2 linked regions of the Caenorhabditis elegans genome follow. The protein of the gene in region 1 interacts with the protein of each later gene in a pairwise test. Each region holds a gene or a part of one and is shown on either strand. Other genes may lie near its edges. The genes, in order: K01A2.10 and rpn-12.

The links.
Region 2: the proteins of K01A2.10 (region 1) and rpn-12 interact in a two-hybrid assay, tested with the Caenorhabditis elegans proteins (2 studies listed by BioGRID).

What each region holds. Positions count from the first base shown.
Region 1 is NC_003280.10:320,651-324,932, reverse strand, and holds K01A2.10 (CCDC92/74 N-terminal domain-containing protein), read left to right. Parts: upstream 1-1,834; 5' UTR 1,835-1,837; coding exon 1,838-1,981; intron 1,982-2,260; coding exon 2,261-2,575; intron 2,576-3,070; coding exon 3,071-3,385; 3' UTR 3,386-3,491; downstream 3,492-4,282. Other genes in the region: far-7 (Fatty Acid/Retinol binding protein), read right to left, coding at 3,905-4,057, 4,192-4,282.
Region 2 is NC_003280.10:11,651,323-11,654,856, forward strand, and holds rpn-12 (26S proteasome non-ATPase regulatory subunit 8), read left to right. Parts: upstream 1-1,801; 5' UTR 1,802-1,804; coding exon 1,805-1,894; intron 1,895-1,938; coding exon 1,939-1,994; intron 1,995-2,040; coding exon 2,041-2,116; intron 2,117-2,189; coding exon 2,190-2,585; intron 2,586-2,636; coding exon 2,637-2,771; 3' UTR 2,772-2,870; downstream 2,871-3,534. Other genes in the region: rad-23 (UV excision repair protein RAD23), read right to left, coding at 286-297, 352-1,155, 1,205-1,288, 1,335-1,406; nep-1 (Neprilysin-1), read right to left, coding at 3,151-3,250. UniProt on the Caenorhabditis elegans protein: Acts as a regulatory subunit of the 26S proteasome which is involved in the ATP-dependent degradation of ubiquitinated proteins.

The sequences.
Region 1 (4,282 bases):
GCTGGGAGGTACCTCCCGATTACCCAGATATTTTTATGTTCAATTTTTTTCCGAATTCCCATATCAATAAACTATTTTTAAATTCCGTATCACCTGAAAATCAAGTGACACCTGTAACTGAGAAATCCTACAAAAAAACAGTCGAAAACCAGTTAGTCCTATGTTTTTATGACTATGTATCAGATGGGTGGAATGGAAATAGAGAGTGGGGGTATGGAATATCGAATGCGTGTTGTTACACTATCATTTATGTATGTATTGGTCGAAAAAGAGAAAAAGAGGTGACACCACCACGCAGGAAGTGCCTACTCTATAATATCGACTAAAATTTCCTTTTTTTTGGGAGAACTTGAATAATAATGTGAAATTTCCTGAATTTCAATTTTTTTGAAAGTACCAATTTTGATTATGTTTTAAAACATCAATAAGTGAGCTAAAAAATTAAAAACAATTTTTTATAAAACCTAGTTATTCTTTTACAAATTGAACTGTCTAACAATTTTTAGCTATCGAAAAAAAAATTGCCAAAAAAAAAATATTACAAAATTTTACAAAACCTCTTTTTTTGTTGAAAAATTAAAGTAATTTTTGTTTTTTCAAAACATTAAACTTTCACCAATATTTATTTGAATGAGGCACCCCCCATAAAAAAATGTTCAATAAATAAAAATTGTTGTGTCCGTAAAAGTATAGAAAGGGTCTCATAAATATTTCCTTATTTGTTTACATTCACTTTTCTCCTATTCTCATATTGTCCCAGAATTCCCTTACTTTTCTAGCTTTGGGCAGCACCAAAAAACCAACAAGAGTTGTTTGAACGGGCCAAATATTTTAACGCCTTTAGAAGTTTTCTGAAAAGCGTTTTTGCAGAATTTTTATGCAAAAATTGAAATTACATAAGAGGTTTTAACGTGAGCCCTTAACTTAGTTTTTTACTGGTTGAGTTTGAATTCAGCAAGACAAAGAAGTTAAGGTTCTAGGGCTCTTATTCAGGGGTGCGCGGCAATTGCCGAAAATTCCAAAAAACCGCAATTGCCGGAATTGCCCGAAATTTTGAAAACCGGAAATTGCCGATTGCCGAAAATTTCCAAAACCGGTAATTGTCAAAATTGCCGCGCACCCCTGATGTACAACCTTTGACCACTATGAAAATATATGTGCAGTATTAACCTTTCCTGAATACCAAATTACCCCCATAGACCCCATTTTCGTTCTGATTTCATAATGTGCTCATTGAGAAGAGCTCATGTTCCCTAACGTGTCCGTGCGTGCGCGGGTTCCATAGAAATCGACCACCACCATTTTCCCTACTTCTCTATTTTCGGCCTCCCTCCCTCTCTGCAGCTGAATCCTTGCCTCGTTTTCTCTATGTCTACTCTTCTGCATCAGGAGGTCTTTGGTATCTCTACCTCTCATCTTTTTCCACTTTTTCCCTCTCTTTTCAAGGAGAAGTTGTTCGATTTTGTGTGTGTGTTTGAAAGATGGGGGATGTACTAAGATGAAGTCAGCTGACTCAATGGGTTTTTTGGTTTTGAACTTTTAGGACAGTTTTGAGGCGGTGGTCTAGGTAGCTGAGGTCAGAATTGTTGGGAGTTCAGTTGGAGTAAGAGCTTCGAGAATTCGATCTCATTTTTCATTAAAATTTGAACAACTTTCTCTAGACGTCTTTTTCTAACTACTAGTTTTTTTTTCAATTTTTAAACATTTACTAAACTTACTGCAATTTGCAAAATGTTTTCATGTTTCCAAATTTTCAAATTGAGTTTTTTTTCGCTTTGATTTTTTTTCATATTCGATTTCATTTCCATACTCCACAAAAATTTCCAATTATTCCAGAATGTCAACTGCAGTGATTGTGAGTCGCCCTCCGTCCCAGACAGCATCCTTTCACGGACCCCAACACCCAAATAGATGCTCATTTTCATCGTCGAGCTCTGAATCGATTCCTCCCACGACTGGAAGGGCAAAGGGTTCTTCTGATGTAAGACATTTAATTTTCATATCGGCATACTTTCCAGAATATTTTTAACATATTTTTTCTTGATCCGAAATTCAAAATGTCGAAAAAAAAACATTTCAAGCAAAATGCACTTTTCAATTTTTCTAAAAACTTCCGCGCAAAAAATTAGTGGGTAGGTCAAACTGTAATTTTTCAAAGTGTTTTGGGGTCAAATTCGTGTTTTGAAATATACAAATATTAAAAGTACAAAGTTGAGCCATATGTTAAAAAGTTAATTTTCAAAACAAAATTTAATTTCAGTTTGAAGAACTTGAAATCCGCATCGACAAAGCCTTGAAAGAACGCGATGCAGAATGGAGGAAACATGAAAAATCACAAATCCAATTTTTACAAAATGAAACTTCAAATATGCTGAAATCACTTCATAATGAAATTAATCGCCTCGGAAATGAGTTACGGGAAGAAAAACGAAAAACTTTGCACGGGGATGATGATTCAGCGGATAAAATTGCTGAACTGGAAAAAGTAATTACGGAAAAGGAAGCTTATACCAAGAATTTAGAAAAAAAAGTTTCAACGACTATTCAAAAACTTCAGGAACAAATTACTATTCAGGTAAGTTTTTTTTAGCCACGCTCTTTTTGTGGGCGGAGTCTAAAACACATATTTTTTACTATTTAAATTGACATTGAAGACAATATGTTTTTAATTTCTGAAATTTGGCAAAAATTTTAGATTTTTTTGGAATTTTTCTTTCTCAGACCAGCACTTTTTTTTAATATTCAAAATTTCCAGATTTCCGGAACAATTCTTTACACAAATTTCAATTTTAAATACCAAATTTTCAAAAAACTATAGAATTTTCAAATAAAAACTTTACAAGATTCGAAATTTGTAAAGTCACATTATTTTCCTTGTGGAAATATTAGTTTAAATTGTGGCTTTGAGCTTGTAAACTTATAAAAATAATGAACAAAACTTTCATAACCATGTAATATCAACTTCTTGGAAATTCATTTCTTTAATTGCCGAGAAATTTAAAAACTTTCAAAAATTCTGAAACTCCAAAACATTTTTGCAGCAATTTTTTTTAATCGAAACAATTTTCAGAGTGACCGAATCCGCCAGCTAAACGAAGAACTCTCTGACCGTAACCAAACCGTAACCCATCTTTCCCAACAACTCCGTGCCATCAAACTCCGCGAAGCAATGGCAACATCCCAGCATCGTCGTAGAGCCTCATCTCAACTCTCCACCACGTCATCACCACCGATGACGTCACCATCCTCACCTCATCGGATCTTTCCACCAGTGTCAAGTGGACTATTATCAGCTTCTGTTGCTGTAACGTATCCTGGAAATTCTAGAATTAGTATTCAGAAAAGATCAACTTCAGCGATGCGTGCACCGACTATGCCTAATTAAGCTTTCAGGAGGCAGGTGCGGAAGCTTAAATTCAATGGGTTTTTGAAACCGATGACTTTTTTATTGTACATATATACCTCAGTCAAATGAAGATATTCTGAATTTTTATTTGAAAATTATAAAAACTACGGTTTCAGGAAAGTTATCAAAATTCCATGTTATGAAAATAGGCAGGAGATGCGTTTTGGACAGAAAATCCTTCCCAAAACGTCGGCGGGGCCTAGTTGTTGCCAGAAATTTAGCCAAGTCAACCATCTCAGCCACAGCTCAAAAACATAGGTGGGGCTGCTCCGACCACGCCTATATCATGGGCATAATGTTTGTTAAGAAAATCAGGCCGCACCCCGAAATAGGGCTTCCATAAGGTCGCCGCAACGGTGGCCGCGCCGGCCTCACGGCATCACTCACGTCGCATGTATCCAAATGTATAGTGCGCATAAGAATATTATATTTTTTATTAATGTCTCATTATGCAGTTTTAATCAAAATACCTTACTGGAGGAAACATCAGAAAAAAAATCAAAATTTAATATCCGGATTATTCTTTCTCAGCGCAGCCTGATCTTCTGAAGATAGGCTTTGGAATTCCTGGTGAAGACGTTTTGCATCTGCATCATCAATTGGTTTTCCGACGGTTAAGGAGCACAAGGTGGTGGTTACCATGTGTATGAGCTGCAAGATTTTTAGTATTTATTACTAGTACTAAAAATGATTTCTAAAATGAGGTTTTTCTCAAATTTCAAAATTTCTGAATTGTAGAAACGTTTTATTCGCATTGTAGCAGCATTTTCCGCCAAACTCCTTACCTTCTTGGCATACTCAACAGCAGCCGGGCTCAAACCATCCAAACGTTTCTTGTTCCCCTCCAACACAGTTGCCAACCGTTTTCCCAATTCT
Region 2 (3,534 bases), about 11 Mb from region 1:
ATGTCACACAAAATTCGCTGAACGCGACGAGAATTTCAACGAAGTGCCTACCAGTAGCGGGTGACAATCAGCACATGGAACTGAATGTGTTATTATCTTAAATATATAGACAAAGGGCAATCGAGAAGGCGATGAATACACATTCTTGGAAGAAGTGTTAATAAAAAAATTAGGCTGATAGGAGCAAGAATATAAGCTTTACGGAAATGGGGGAGAGAGAATAAATTAATTTCTGTTGCAATTTCCAGTGACGGTGATCAGAAGTTATTGGCATGGGTAAGATAATTATTCCTCATCCTGAAATAATTAAAAATTAAACTTCTAATTATCTACGTATGGAAATAAACTCACGAGGTTGCTGAAAATAAAGTTGATAGCGGCTTCCTCGTTTTTGTCACATGCGAAATAAGCCTCCACAACCACAGCTTCTGGTGCATTAACAACTATGGCTTTGATTCTCTCAATAGCAGCAGCTTCTTCGGGACTGAGATGGATAACATGGCGACGTGGGGTGTTTCTTTCTGGCGCATTTCCTGCAGCGGCTCCGGCTCCTTGAGCTCCACCATTCAAAAGATCCATGAAAGCTTGCTGGTTGTTCTGAATAGTCTGAACAAGTCTTGGGTTGACAGCAGCCAACTGCTGAAGGACTGCGGCGAGCATTTCAGGATTTTGTTGAATCAAAGCTCTAATTTCTGCAAGCTGTGGCATGTTTGCAAGCATGTTAAGATCGTCATTGCCATCCTCATCCACGTTATCGATGTTTTGCTCGGGCCCCAAATCTGGTTCTTGGTCAGCAGCATCATCAGGAAGTCCGTTGAGAAGAAACTCGACTGCGCGGTCTGGATTCCAGAATGCTGCGCGCAGAGCAGCGATAGTTTGTTCACGGTCATAGCCCATTCCAGTGATTGCGAGAACGTTCTCTTCTTGCTCATCCGTAAGCGCCTCCGCCTCAGCAGGAGCAGCAGCTTCAGGAGCAACATCGGCAGCTGGGGCTGGGTTTGACGCAGGAGCGGCAGCTACTGGAACAGGCTCAGCAGCTGTGGCAACGGTAGATGAAGGTGCAACTTCTGTGACTTTCCTTTTGCTGAGCATCACAACAACGAACTTCGAAGAATCGAATCCGACTTCTCCGACCTTCACAGAATCGTCGAGAATCTAAAAAAAAAACATACTTTAAAGATATTATGAGCCTTCACTGTAATACCTTTCCGTTGTAGATTAATTTTTGAAGTTCTGGAGCATAATCATCCCCTTTCTCCGAAGCGACCAGAGCCTTTACTTCCGCAATCTGAAAGAAAAATAAAATACAAGTCGAACATTAACTCTAATCTTACCGTCTGATCTTCATTCAATTCCAAATTGAAGTTAACTTGTGTGAGAGTCCTGAATGTAACGGACAAAACCATCCTGCAAAAAATTGTGAAATGTTACGAATAGAGTCATGTATTGAAAGAAAAAGAAATAAATATCGATAACAGATTGATATTAATGCAAAACAAGCAGTATATATGTATAAAATAAACAAACATTTGATTATTAATAAAAGAACAAAACAAAAAAACCATTTTGAAGAACAAAATAAGTGGTAAAAAACAGAAGAGAAAATGGCTTGGCGTCTTAAAGGCGCACATGATTTGAACACTCTTCGTGGCGAGACCTGCCAGAATTGTCATTGTGTCGATTTACGGAGAATGCGTTTATTTCTTTTTTGAATGTTTTATTTTTATTTTTTAACTTCACTTGTGTTTATCGTGAACTTTTATCTTCGATTTTATCAAATTAAAACATTATTGGATTTAAGAAAATGTCTGCCGCCCATAAAAATCTTCTGGCTGTGTGGGCAAAGGAGCCAAAAGATCTTGTCGCAGTTGAGAAGGCTCTGAATGAGTTGACGGTCAGTTAATTGTTTGTCAAATTGTAAATAAATTGAATTTTCAGAAGGTTCTCAGTGCCTCCAGCGATTTGAATGATAAACAGTCTGCATTGGCTTCAAAGTAAGATTTTTCTTTGGTGTAATGAGTTTAAATTATTAATTTTCAGAGATTTGTACGAGATTTCGGTGCTCTTGGCAATTCTGAAGCACGATTTCGAAACGTTCGACGATTACATCAATCAGGTGAGTCTTTAAATAATTATTTGGAAAATTTATGTAATTTTTAACGATCTGTAAATTATTTTTAATTTTCCAGATGCATACCTACTATACAATGGCGCCAGAAAATTCTGAAAACAAGCATTTAATGACTGGACTCCATCTGATGTTCCTGCTCGCTGCCAACAGATTGTCCGACTTCCACATGCTCCTCGAACAAATTCCACAGAAAGAGCAAACATCAAACGCTTACATCTCTACGCCAGTTCGTATTGAACAGAGTCTCATGGAAGGAGCCTACAACAAGGTTGTGCTCACCGAGAAGAATATTCCAAGCCCCTTCTACACTATTTTCATTCGTATTATGCTTGACACCATCCGTCGCGAAATCGCAACATCTATCGAGAAGTCTTTCAAAGTTCTGACAGCGAAGGATGCCACGGTCATGCTTCTGTTCGACAATGACGAACAAATGAAAAAGTTTGGACAAGAGGTAATAATGATTTTTAAAGCTACAAGTATTAAAAAATATATTTATTTACAGAGAAAATGGCATTTGGATGGAGAGCGTTACGTTTTCGAAATTGAGGTGGCTCAGGAGAAGCCTGTGAATTTGGATACAGTGCGAGTCGCAACTCAAACCCTCTTCTACGCCAAGCAACTCGAACAAATCGTTTAACCGGTGTCTTTCAAGAACTCAAGCATTGTATTTGTAAACTGATTTTAATTTATTCGCGTCTTTTTCTCGGTACTGTAAGAAAATGAACTTTCCGATGCATTGTTTTAGCAAGTTTTAATTACATCTGAAAATTTTATTTGCACAAAGATTTCTGGAATGAACAAGAACATCTATCAATATGATATACCAAAAAAAGAAGTTGGAAAAATTCGAGAAAAAATACATAGAGGGACAAAATACAGTGAATTCGAGTGTCTATTGTTTTCAACAATATATACAGCTAGATGAGTAAAAAAAAAGGACGAAAGATTTAGTAGATTCTGAGAGACAGATAGATAAAGCGTGCCAACTTGGTTGACTCCTTTCCCGTATTTTCTGATTACCACACAACACAGCGTTTCGTTGGATTCATCGGAGATCCAGCTGGACATTTGAAAGCCTCGGCAAATTCTGGCTGATTTGTTAGAACCGTGTTCACTCTGAAAAAATTATAAATAATTGTTGCCAAAAAAGTTGAATGAACGATGATGTGTATTGCGTAACATATTTTTGAATATCTTGTAGCGAAAACTACATGTAAATAGTAAATCGTCTACTTATGGAAATAAACTCACGAGGTAAATCTTTAAATGACTACTGTAGTGGTTTCGATTGTTAAACGAAAAATAAATAAATTTCCGAGCCCGTAAATCGACACTACAGTAGCCCTCTAAAAAGTTACTGTAGTTTTCGCTACGAGATATTTTGCGCGTCAAATATGTTA